Linked DNA regions of Neurospora crassa OR74A. The protein of the gene in region 3 interacts with the protein of the main gene of each other region in a pairwise test. Links are inferred from orthologs where the notes say so. Each region holds a gene or a part of one and is shown on either strand. Other genes may lie near its edges. The genes, in order: NCU02624, NCU02693 and NCU04461.

What was found.
Region 1: the proteins of NCU04461 (region 3) and NCU02624 interact in a two-hybrid assay, tested with the Saccharomyces cerevisiae proteins (2 studies listed by BioGRID, with this or other methods). The link is inferred for Neurospora crassa OR74A from reciprocal best matches to the Saccharomyces cerevisiae genes ERG28 and ERG11.
Region 2: the proteins of NCU04461 (region 3) and NCU02693 interact in binary tests that used the Saccharomyces cerevisiae proteins (3 or more experiments, as listed by UniProt). The link is inferred for Neurospora crassa OR74A from reciprocal best matches to the Saccharomyces cerevisiae genes ERG28 and ERG26.

The regions. Positions count from the first base shown.
Region 1 is NC_026501.1:2,956,663-2,960,969, reverse strand, and holds NCU02624 (cytochrome P450 51), read left to right. Parts: upstream 1-1,480; 5' UTR 1,481-1,748; coding exon 1,749-1,994; intron 1,995-2,066; coding exon 2,067-2,264; intron 2,265-2,326; coding exon 2,327-3,478; 3' UTR 3,479-4,099; downstream 4,100-4,307. UniProt on the Saccharomyces cerevisiae protein: Sterol 14alpha-demethylase that plays a critical role in the third module of ergosterol biosynthesis pathway, being ergosterol the major sterol component in fungal membranes that participates in a variety of functions.
Region 2 is NC_026501.1:3,224,292-3,227,947, forward strand, and holds NCU02693 (C-3 sterol dehydrogenase/C-4 decarboxylase), read right to left. Parts: upstream 2,439-3,656; 5' UTR 2,239-2,438; coding exon 1,756-2,238; intron 1,680-1,755; coding exon 1,044-1,679; 3' UTR 616-1,043; downstream 1-615. Other genes in the region: NCU02692 (hypothetical protein), read left to right, coding at 1-509; NCU02694 (hypothetical protein), read left to right, coding at 3,424-3,656. UniProt on the Saccharomyces cerevisiae protein: Sterol-4-alpha-carboxylate 3-dehydrogenase; part of the third module of ergosterol biosynthesis pathway that includes the late steps of the pathway.
Region 3 is NC_026504.1:3,279,125-3,282,678, reverse strand, and holds NCU04461 (transmembrane domain-containing protein), read right to left. Parts: upstream 2,077-3,554; 5' UTR 1,750-2,076; coding exon 1,684-1,749; intron 1,616-1,683; coding exon 1,154-1,615; 3' UTR 937-1,153; coding exon of another isoform or gene 713-936; 3' UTR 642-712; downstream 1-641. Other genes in the region: NCU04460 (galactose-1-phosphate uridylyltransferase), read left to right, coding at 1-641, 713-936; NCU04462 (3-ketoacyl-CoA reductase), read left to right, coding at 2,337-2,480, 2,552-3,406. UniProt on the Saccharomyces cerevisiae protein: Part of the third module of ergosterol biosynthesis pathway that includes the late steps of the pathway.

The DNA.
Region 1 (4,307 bases), on a different chromosome or scaffold from region 3:
GAAATGACCAAGAACGAGACAACGGGTGATGTATGAACCATAAGCAAGGAACGCCACAGCTTCCGAAGCATCAACATCAACAATCACAACCACAACCACAACCAACAACAACCACAACAACAAACTTGCCAGTCATAGCGCTTATTCTTTGCAGCTTTTCGCATTTTGGACGGCGTTCAACCAGGAGTTACACTTTCATTTTCGGGGTAACAAAAAAGGGGAAGGGGGGAGCATTGATCATTCCGGGATTCTTGGGATAGGGCACTCATGATACCACATAACACGCATTCACTCAAGCTTTTCTCTATTCCTTCGTATGGGTTTTCTTCTTTCGATGTCAGATAGAACATGTCCCGGCTTCCTGTCAGAATCAGCATTGATTTTTTTTTTTTTTTTTTTTTTTTTTTTTTTTTTTTTTTCTGTTTTCTTGCATGTCTGAACCAAGCAAGTCAATGCATTTGGTTGGTTTTGTGTAGAGTGACAAAGGGCTCGGTTGGAAACCTGCCTCATAGTATTGGAAGATACCAAGCCACCTGATTCAGACAACAAATAAATATATTTACTCTATACATACATATTCGAACCGGCAGCAACAGATTTTCGATCATGAGTCTATCAAACCATGGATTCGAATACGTTTGCGTAATCGTTTGATGACGCCATTGCACTACCTCACTATAACAATAGCGAACTCCACGTGTTTCTTTGGTTCCTTTTTTAATATATTTTCATAGGCTAGAAAGATAGTGGTGGTCAGCAAAGGCGAGGGACGACGCAAGATGACTTGCTTGGGCGGGATTGAGACGAGAGCGGGAGTAGCCGCTGTGGCAAAGCACAACCTCGAATGCCAAGAGATGGCTCCGTTGAACTCCAGCTTGACCCCTTTTTTAGTATTTGACCAAGTTTCTTTCAACAAAGCACGGAATGTTAGATACTTTTGCTTGCGAGTTGGGAATTGGTGAGATGTTTGAAAGGGGTGAAGTATGTAGATAGCGGCCATTCAAGTAGTATGCATATTATCATATCTGTTCATCGCTGCCCTGCATCTGCAGTCAGGCATTCATATGTATTCCTTCGTACTCGCCGCGTTCTGAAGACGTTAGGATTTCCATTCAAGCATGACATTACCCTGTCTGCATCCCATTTCCTTTGCAAGACCAAAACAGCATGGCTGAAGAGCTCCAATCGTCTCTTTCCATGGTGGAAACCGTCAGATGCGATTTCCCCCATGGCATGATCTTGGGCTGAGGTTGCCAGTGCGGCAAGGATAGGTTAGTTTGGATGATCTGGAGAGGGTACGTACCGTCCAACCAAAAATCCGAATACGAATGCGTTGCCCCTGCTCTTATGATTGGCTGGGAGACATCAGACTGCCCAACTCCTATTCGCCCGGAGGGAAAGCTGCTCCCGAAAGGTGAGGTGGTCCCTGAGCTTCACCAAGCTGGTGAAAGTGTGCTGCTGTCACCCCAGTTTTACACTACCACTGCACTGCCCTTGGTCCCTAGCTAGGTGGGTAGACCTCCCCTCCCCTATCAGCCTATCGCTAGGATAGGTCGTAGCCAGAGAGGGAAAGGCTACGATAACCGCCAACCATCGACCGACTTTATAAAATCAAGTCGCGTCGCCCATCTTCTCCCCTTTTACCCCCCCTCCTCAGGCTACATTCATTTTCTTGCTTGTTTGCTGCCGGCGTCCACGACTTTGGCTTCGTTCCCCTCCACGCCTTCTCCCCGCCTCCTTCTCCAACCATGGGCATCCTGCAAGTCGTTGCGGGACCGCTGTCCCAGCAGTTTTCCCAGCTGGGGACGGTGTCGCAAATTGGTGTCGCGATCGCCTCCTTTTTGTTTGTTGCCGTCGTCCTCAACGTCCTCCAGCAGTTCCTCTTCAAAAAGCCTAATGAGCCGCCTCTCGTCTTCCACTGGTTTCCTCTCATCGGCAGCACCATTACGTATGGTATGGACCCGCCGCGTTTCTTCAAGGAGAACAGGGAAAAGGTAAATCCTCCAACCGCCTCCTGTTGGGCTACGCGCGAACTTGGCTTGCTAACGATCTCGGCGCTCGAACAGTACGGCGATTGCTTCACCTTCATCCTCCTCGGAAAGAAGACTACTGTCTACGTCGGCCCCAAGGGCAATGACTTTATCTTGAACGGCAAAATTCGCGATGTCAACGCCGAAGAGATTTACACCGTCCTTACTACCCCTGTTTTCGGCAAGGACGTCGTCTACGATTGCCCCAACTCCAAGCTTATGGAGCAGAAGAAGGTTAGCAGAGGCAACAACATATGGAGGTGGTAAAGAGTGTGCTAACATACGGTTTTCACAAGTTCATGAAAATTGCGCTCACCACCGAAGCTTTCCGCCAATATGTCCCCATCATCTCCGATGAGGTTACCAGCTACCTCAAGAGAACCGCCGACTTCAAGGGAAAATCCGGCATCGTCGATATTCCCCCCAAGATGGCGCAGATCACCATCTTCACCGCCTCGCACGCTCTTCAGGGCAAGGAGATTCGCGACAAGTTCGACGAGACGCTTGCCGACCTATACCACGACCTCGACATGGGTTTCTCTCCCATCAACTTCATGCTTCACTGGGCCCCTCTTCCCTGGAACAACCGTCGCGACTACGCCCAGCGTACCGTTGCTAAGATCTACATGGACACCATCAAGGAGCGTCGCGCTCGCGGCGAGACTGGCGCCCAGGACATTATGTGGCACCTGATGAACTCGACCTACAAGGGCGACGTCCCCGTTCCCGACCACGAGATCGCCCACATGATGATCGCCCTCCTCATGGCCGGCCAGCATTCTTCGTCCTCCACCAGCTCGTGGATCATGCTCCGCCTCGCCTCCCGCCCCGACATCATGGAGGATCTCTACAACGAACAAGTCAAGAACCTCGGCGCCGACCTCCCCCCACTCACCTACGAGGACCTCGCCAAGCTGCCCCTGCACGCCGCCATTGTCAAGGAAACCCTCCGCCTCCACGCCCCTATCCATTCCATCATGCGCGCCGTCAAGACGCCCATGCCCGTCCCCGGTACCAAGTACGTTATTCCGACCGATCACGTCCTCCTCGCCGCCCCTGGTGTCTCCGCCACGGACGAGTCCTACTTCCCCCAGCCCGACCTTTGGGAGCCCCACCGCTGGGAGAAGGACTCGCCCCTCGCGCCCACAATTGTTCGCAACGTCCCTAGCGAGGAGGACGATGAGAAAATCGATTACGGCTACGGTCTCGTCAGCAAGGGCGCCAACTCCCCTTATCTGCCCTTCGGCGCCGGTCGTCACCGCTGCATTGGCGAGCAGTTCGCCAATGTGCAGCTGCAGACTATCCTTGCTATTATTGTTCGTAACTTCAAATTCAGGAACGTGGATGGTAGCGATAAGGTTATTGGTACCGACTACGCTTCGCTTTTCTCGAGGCCCCTTGAGCCGGCGAAGATTTACTGGGAGAGGAGGGAGGGTTGCCAGTTGTAAAGACACTGATGTGGTGGTGAGGAAGGGTGTGGATGCTTAGATGGGCGTTCTTTGGTTTTAGTTGTTATAATTATGGAACTGGGTCTACGGCATATAATGACGTGATTGATCAATCATGAAAAAGAGTGTTCTTGGAGACAGGATAGAATAGAGCTCGATGGACCTTATGGGAGGAGTGTCCCGAGGAAGACTCAGGGGAAAGAAAAGGAAGTTGCATTATAACTAATACCTAATACCAACGAACGAACACGGTGGCCTCACTGTCGAAGAACAGTACATCCATTCTTGATTGTTCTATGCACGTGTTGGTTGTTGTTGTTGGAGGTGTGGTTGTAGTAGCCAAAAGAAGATCTGCGAAAGTCTGAAAGGACAACATCACCAGTTCGCGTTGGTGAGTCAAATAATCCGAGTCGAGTCCGACAACCACCAAACGTGTCCTGCACCGAAATGAGTGAACAGTTGAAGGAAATGAAGGAGCAATATGCATTTCCTCTTCGGTGACTCGTTATGCTGTTCTCGATCATGACACAACTTTGCCTGACCGAATGGCTATGGGTACGTAGTTCATTCACTCGCCGCGGGTTGTCCATGGGGGCTATTAAGATCTAGGCATTTCCCAAAAAAAAAAAAAAAAAAAAAAAAAAGGGGGGGGGGGGGAGGGGGGAGGGGGGCTTGACGTAGTTATAAATCCTAAGCGAATCAACAGCCATAACTTCTAGGGAGTTGAAGGGGGTTTGCTACGAGAAGAGCTTATGTAGTGAGGAATTTGCTGGTTTACTCGGTCCCAGCCAACTGGTGGAAAATAGAAGGCCGGATCGAAGCGATATGG
Region 2 (3,656 bases), on a different chromosome or scaffold from region 3:
CCAAAACCTGGCGCTCCCTTCCCAAGCCGCAAACGGTTGTCCGCTGTCCGCCCATCAACTGGGCCCAGTACGCCATCGTAGGCGAGTCGCTTGATAAGCTGCACCGCGAGCAATTGACGGCGCCTACGCTGGGGGTACCTGCGGTTCTTAGTGTCGGGGGAGTATATGAATTCAGAGGGACAGCGGCGGCGGCAGCAGGAGCAGCACCAGGAGGGGGCGTTGTTAGCGTTGGTAATGGAAGTGGTTATGCCATGGGAGATACCACGGCAACAACAGACCGGACCTCTACGCCACCAACGACAACGATGGCGACCACGGCTGGAACAGAAGCGCAGCAGTCACCAGGGGAGACATTGGGACAGGGACAAGGGCAAGGGCAAGGACAAGGACAATTTCCAACACTAGGACGAAATGAACAATCGCAGAGATTGGTTGGTATTGCAGCGCCGTACACGCCTGGAAGAGATAAGATCGAGAGGACGACAGGCAGGAAAGGAGCCAAGCGCTGAACTTGACATTTCCTAAGACATATGAAGGAATTGAAGTGGCCTACGAAGGGGATAGCATGGCGTTAGGGTATCATGGTGTATGGGATTAGCAAGAGAATTAAGTTTAGCGAGCGATCAAGATCGGAATGCTTCTGTTAGTCACTTATGGACCGGTAACAGACCTAATCTAGAAACTACGTACACGCACCGGCATCATACTGTTCAGTCTGGGCTTTGTTGAAGGAGTTTCGTAGCTTCGCGTGACATGTTTAGCATCTGTCCGTGGATCAATATCCAGCTCACCCCTTCATCCGGCCAACATGTCTGAGAGAGGCATGCCTCGTCGTCCGTCATCCAAATGTCGTCATTAGATATTATTATACAGCGGGACAGATAGTACGGCGCGTTCCAGCACGCAAGGCCCGACTTATTTCGCCTCATCAGCGCTTGTCCAATGTTTCATATACAGTTATCATGCCTTCCGTCGATGTTTGCTTCTTTCACCACCACCACCACCACACCCTTTATCCCTTCCACATTCAAGGCCTGCTATACCTATTGCAACTTCTCCCCCTTCTGCTGCTCCAGCGTCCACTTAACCGACCTCTTCACCGCCTCATCCAATGGCACCAGCGGCTTATATCCCAACCGCTTCTTAGCCTTGGAAATATCGTAGTACCTCGTCATGCAGCTATAAATGATGCGCTGCCTATTAAACGTCGGCGGCTTGCGAATGATCCCAAAGAAGACTTCCGACAAAAAGCCCAGCACAATACCAACATCGCGCGGCAAAACCCACACGTGCTCAGTCCCATGGGGAGATCCCGCAGCGTTCCACACAGCCCGGCAGAAATCCCAAAAGTACACGGGCGAGTCGTTGGTAATGATGAAGGCCTCGCCATCGACGCGCTCATGGTCTAGTGGGGCGATCTTGAGCTTGGAGGTTTGGAGGAGGGCGACGGCGGCCAACAAGTGACCGTGCGCTACGTTCTCGACGTAGGTGAAGTCGAAGAGGTTATCGTTGTCGCCGACTTGAACCGAGGTCTTGCCGTTCTGGTACAGTTTGATTAGGTGGTACAGCGTCATGGTGTCGCCTTCGCCCATGATGCCTGAGGGACGGATGGAGCAGGTGAGCAGGGAAGGGGCGGCAGCGGAACGGTTGGCCTGGAGGACCAGTTCTTCGGCGGCGGCCTGGAGGGAGGGGGAGGTTAGTTTTGGGATGCATCACTCTTGGGGGATATGGGAGAGAGGGGAAGTAGGAGGGTACCTTTGTCTCCGAATAGTACTCGCTCTGCTGGGCTCCACGGATGACGGGCCAACGTTCGTCCGCATTGATGAGGTCGGACTTGTTATCACTCATCACACTGGCGGAACTGGTGTAGACGAGGGCGGTAACGCCCGTCTGCTGACACGCCTTGATGATGGCGGCGGTGCCGTCGACGTTGACCTTCTTGAACAGCGCATGAGAGACGCTGTCGTTGGACTGGGCGGCAGGCGACGCGGTGTGGATGACGACCTGGGGCTTGACCTGGTTGAAGATGGTTTCGAGCCTGGCGGGGTCTGTGATGTCGGCCTCGAAGTATTGGACGCCATCCGACTCGGGTCGCCGGTTCCGCGTGCAGCGTAGGTCGATGACGGAAACGGAGCAGATGTAGTCGCGGAGGAGCACGCGGACAACGTGGTGACCGAGGAAGCCACAGCCGCCAATCACCATGACGGAGCCAAGCTCCGGCTTCTTTTCTGAGGCCATCGTGGGATGTATGCGGGGTATCGACAAGGGAAGAGCAATGGATTGGAGCGTTGGGAGAAAGGCAGGAAAGATGGACTGAAGGAGGGTCAATTGGGAAACTGTCTAGTTCTAGAGCAAGGGACGTGGGATCATGGGTAGGATATCTTCGAAGCCGGGGGACAAGGATGCCATTTTGAGCTACAAATTGCAACCTATCAGGGACATGCCACTGTGTCTCTGGCTCCGCGTCTCGGCTCCAAGCACGCCACTTACAGTAATTTCCCCTCAAAGTGCATGCACCTGATAATGCATAAAGCCCTCTAGATGCGTAGAAATTGGCGGCCGCAATTAGTTGGTATGGGAAATCGCATAAGTGCTTGAATGCCCCTGTATGTGAAACGGCCGGCCATTTCGGTGTAATATGCACTATTTGGAACACCTTTTTCAGGGCCTTTTAGGACTTTATAGGCAAGCTAGCACTCTCTGAACCTCTGAAATTTTCATACTAAGGGAGCAAAAAGACTTGGCATGTGCCTGCTAGTGCATATGTGCCTCTAGATGCATATAAACCCCTGGCCCGGATTACATGCACTTTCAGGGGAAATTACTGTACCTAGCTCTTGACAGCCAGTGAGGTACGACACGGCGACACGCCTGTGGAAAACATCGTGACCCCTTTTTAAGAGGCTGGATTTTGGGCGGAACCTACAGAAGGGCAAAATGAAGGACCCCTGTTGTCCATCAAGGTCGACGGGGTGCGGCTCGCAGTGGACCTGAGTGGATGAAGGCGCACAGGGACCCGTGCTCTCCCATCTTCCAAGTTCCAACATCGTGAGACCTTGCCATAAAGGTGGAACCTAGTACTATCGATCCCGCCTGCACATAGAGGTACCCAACTGAATGCGACGGGCACGCGGTTTTCCATTTTTTTTTTGTTGCCAGATCCCGTCGTGCAGCCAGTCAACAATGCGCATTTGCTCCCTTTCGTTGTCCTCCCACAACGGCGTTTCTCTTCACTTCCACCTCGTAAGAATCTGGAACACTTTACTGTCTGTCAGGCAACAGCCTTCCATCCAGCGTCTCACCCTTACCCATAAACCCATGATCCAGCACACTTCCAACTTCTATATCTCGATTGCAACGCAGCCCAGCCCATTCCATGGCACTCGACAACCACAGCTTAAACTGGTGCCCTGACGCAGTGTGATGAACAAAAAATCCGCGACCGAAATCCTCGTCCATATCACAGCTCCTAGCAGATCGAAAGACGATGCCAACTATAGAGCACTCGCCAATGCATATAACAACTTTGAACCCACCACGCGCACATCCGTGTTCAGCAAGACAATATCACCAAATGTCGTAGTTCATCAGGCCGCCGTGCAGCCTCAGCCCGTTGGAAATGGCTCCCTAGGACCCTCCACGCAACCGGATCAGAT
Region 3 (3,554 bases):
TCTCCTCCTGCAAGCGCAGCCCGCCACCGGCCGGTGCTACGTGCTCACCTTCTCCGCCAAGCACGACACCACTTTGGCGGACATGAGCGCGACCGAGATCGTACCCGTGATCGAGACCTGGACGCGCATCTACGCCAGCCACCTGTCTGCCTCGCATCCGCTCAGGGACGCCGCCGCGCGTTCACTCAGCGAGATTCCACCTAACCCGGACGGCGAAGTCGAGCCCGCGAAAAAGCAGCAGCTGCGGTACATGCAGATCTTTGAGAACAAGGGCGCGGCCATGGGCTGCTCGAACCCGCATCCGCACTGCCAGATCTGGACGACGAGCACGCTGCCCGAGGAGCCGGGCAAGGAGCTGGCGCAGATGACCAAGTACCACCGTGAGCACAAGGGGAGGCATCTGCTGGAGGACTACGTCAAGGTGGAGATGGCCAAGGGCGAGCGTGTGGTTTGGCAGAACGACGGGTTCTTGGTCGTCTGCCCTTGGTGGGCTGTCTGGCCGTTTGAGGTGCTCGTCATTGCGAAGAGACATGTGCGCGCGCTGGTGGAGCTTACGAGCGAGGAGAGGCTGCAGTTTGCCGAGGCGGTGCAGGAGGTTACGAGAAGATATGATAACTTGTTCGAGACAAACTTTCCGTATAGTAAGTTCTACTACCCTCTGCAACTGCCCGAAGGAGAGAGAAAGGGAGAAAGGAGCTAACGGTATGAGAAGGCTCGGGTATTCATCAGGCGCCGTTGGATTGCACAGAGGAAGAGGCTGAGACGAGCTGGTTCCATATGCATTTCTACCCTCCACTTCTTCGGTCTGCTACCGTGCGCAAGTTCTTGGTCGGATACGAGTTAATGGCTGAGCCGCAGAGGGATATCACTCCGGAGCAAGCGGCTGCGCGACTCAGAGACTGCGGTGGTGAGCTCTATCGCAAGTCGTTGCAGTAGTGGAAATGTATGATGCGCTTGCTTCGCTTCTTGACCGAAAAGGGTATCAATAAGTGGTACATCTTCCACAAAGCCTATCGTCGGAGTCTTATTTCACCTAATACGCGATCGCGCTTCTTATGGTCATGATCCGAGTCCACTCGCCATTCCTTTTTGGGGGCCATGTACTGCTTCCTGCTTTGATTCCCAAAGACCAGCTGGTAGCTGCACCTGTCTTTTACTGGACGTAGTAACCATACTGCAACACCATCCACAACGTGCCGCCATACGCCGCCAAGAAGGGGAAGATCTGAGGTCCGCTGAAACGCAGCGTCTTGTAGATGAAGAACTCGCTCGTAAAGTGCACGGCGGCGATGACATGGGTCCAGATACCGAGCTTGTACAACGACTCGTTCTCGAGGTTGTAGCTCGCATAGAAGCGGATGATGCCGGCCATAAAGGTGTAGGTACCGAAGACGCGGGCCGCCAGCGGCGTGACTTGGTCCTTGGCAGCCGCCTCCTTCTTCTCCGCCTCTGAGGGCGAGACGGGCTTCAGCACGTCCACGCTGTCCTCCGGGCTGAATTTGCCCTTTGCGGGCGGCAGGGAAGGGTTGGGGACGAAACGGCCGTTGTAAAGGCGTCGCGTGTAGTGGAGAGTAGTGTAGTTTTGGAGGGCGTTTCCCATAGCTACGATGGAGACCTGGACGAAGGGCGTGTTAATTGCGAAACCATGTGAAGAGTCAGGGGGACCAGCAACCGTCAACTTACAAAGAAGAGGTAGTAGGGAAGGAGACCCTTCTCGCCCGAAGGCAGGAAAGCCTTGATAGCGTCCATTTGGTTCAAACAGTTATGAAGCGGTTTGTCGTCAGGGAAGAAAGCTATCGTAAGTCCAGGATATTTGTATTGAGAAGACCTTTTGTTGTTGAGGTGTTAGTTGCCCTTCCTGTTGCAGCTCTCCATTTGTTCCAGCGGCTCGAGGATCGGATGGAAACCACACTTCGGGCCACTCTCAAGCGCGAGAGACAGGGGTCATCGTAGCATCATGGACGCAGGTCCACGGGCATTGGACGACATTTTGGAGACAACAAACAAAATCCGCCAGGCTCCCCCTTCTCCTCTATCCATTGGCCCATGGCCAGCTCCGTCGGAGTTCAATGGCGGCGTCGAGTGAGTGATGGTTCGGCAAAAGCGGGGACAACCCAGCTGCCCAGGTCCTCTCGCCGGGGCCGCGGGGCGGGACGTCTCGAAAATCTTGGCGGCTGACACATGCAAGTGTACATAGTAGGCGAGTCGACCCCAGGTCCTCCAAAAAGTTCCCAACAATTATTTGCGACCGGACCCAACTTTGAAAGTGTCACAACTCCCCGATTCAAACCAAAGGCGTTCCTTCATCAACGACTTTCGCCGACAGTCCGTACGCAATGGATAAGGTTGCCGAGATCTGGGGCACTGTCCCTCAATATGGCCAATGGGCCCTTGCTGGCATCGGCGCCCTTTACGTCGCTACTCGCGTCGGCGCTTTCCTCCAGCTGCTCCTTAACGCTTTCATCCTGAGCGGCACCAACGTACGTCTCTTCGCAAACTTACTTGGGACTGAAGATTGTCAGGTGAATGTGGCTAACATCAACCTTGACAGCTCCGCAAGTATGGCAAGAAGGGCACCTGGGCTGTTATCACTGGTGCCTCCGATGGTCTCGGAAAGGAGTTCGCCCAGCAGCTCGCCTCCAAGGGCTTCAACCTCGTTCTCGTCTCTCGCACTCAGTCCAAGCTGGACGTCCTTGCTAGGGAGCTCGAGCTCAGATGGGATGGTTTCAAGGCCAAGACTTTCGCCATGGACTTCTCCAAGGACGACGATTCCGACTACGAGCGTCTCGCCGAGCTCATCAAGGGCCTCGACATTGGTATCTTGATCAACAACGTTGGCCAGTCCCACAGCATCCCCGTTCCTTTCCTCCAGACCGACCGCGACGAGCTCCAGAACATTGTCACCATCAACTGCCTCGGCACACTCAAGACCACCAAGGTTGTCGCTCCCATCCTCGCCCAGCGCAAGAAGGGTCTTATCCTTACCATGGGCTCTTTCGCCGGTGTTATGCCCACCCCCTACCTTGCCACCTACAGCGGCAGCAAGGCGTTCCTCCAGCACTGGAGCAGCGCTCTCTCTGCCGAGCTCAAGGACCAGGGCGTCGATGTCCACCTTGTTGTCAGCTACCTCGTTACCACTGCCATGAGCAAGATCCGCCGCACCAGCCTCCTCATCCCCAACCCCAAGCAGTTCGTCCGCGCTGCTCTCGGCAAGGTTGGCCTCAACAGCTCCGAGCCCTTTCCTAACACCTACACCCCCTGGTGGAGCCATGCTGTGTTCAAGTGGGTTGTTGAGAACACTGTCGGTGCCTACAGCTACTTTACCCTCAGGCTGAACAAGAACATGCACATCGACATCCGCAACCGCGCTCTCCGCAAGGCCGCTCGTGAAGCCAAGAAGCAGTAAGCGCATATCGCAGCTTCTAGCTACCATGTTTCTCACGTGAAGCTGGGAAGGAGCATGGACTTGTGGCATGATGGCTCTAGCCAAAAGACACATCCCATTGGCCTGCGTTACATCCACCCTTCGGACCCTGTATCTATTGTAGAGAAAA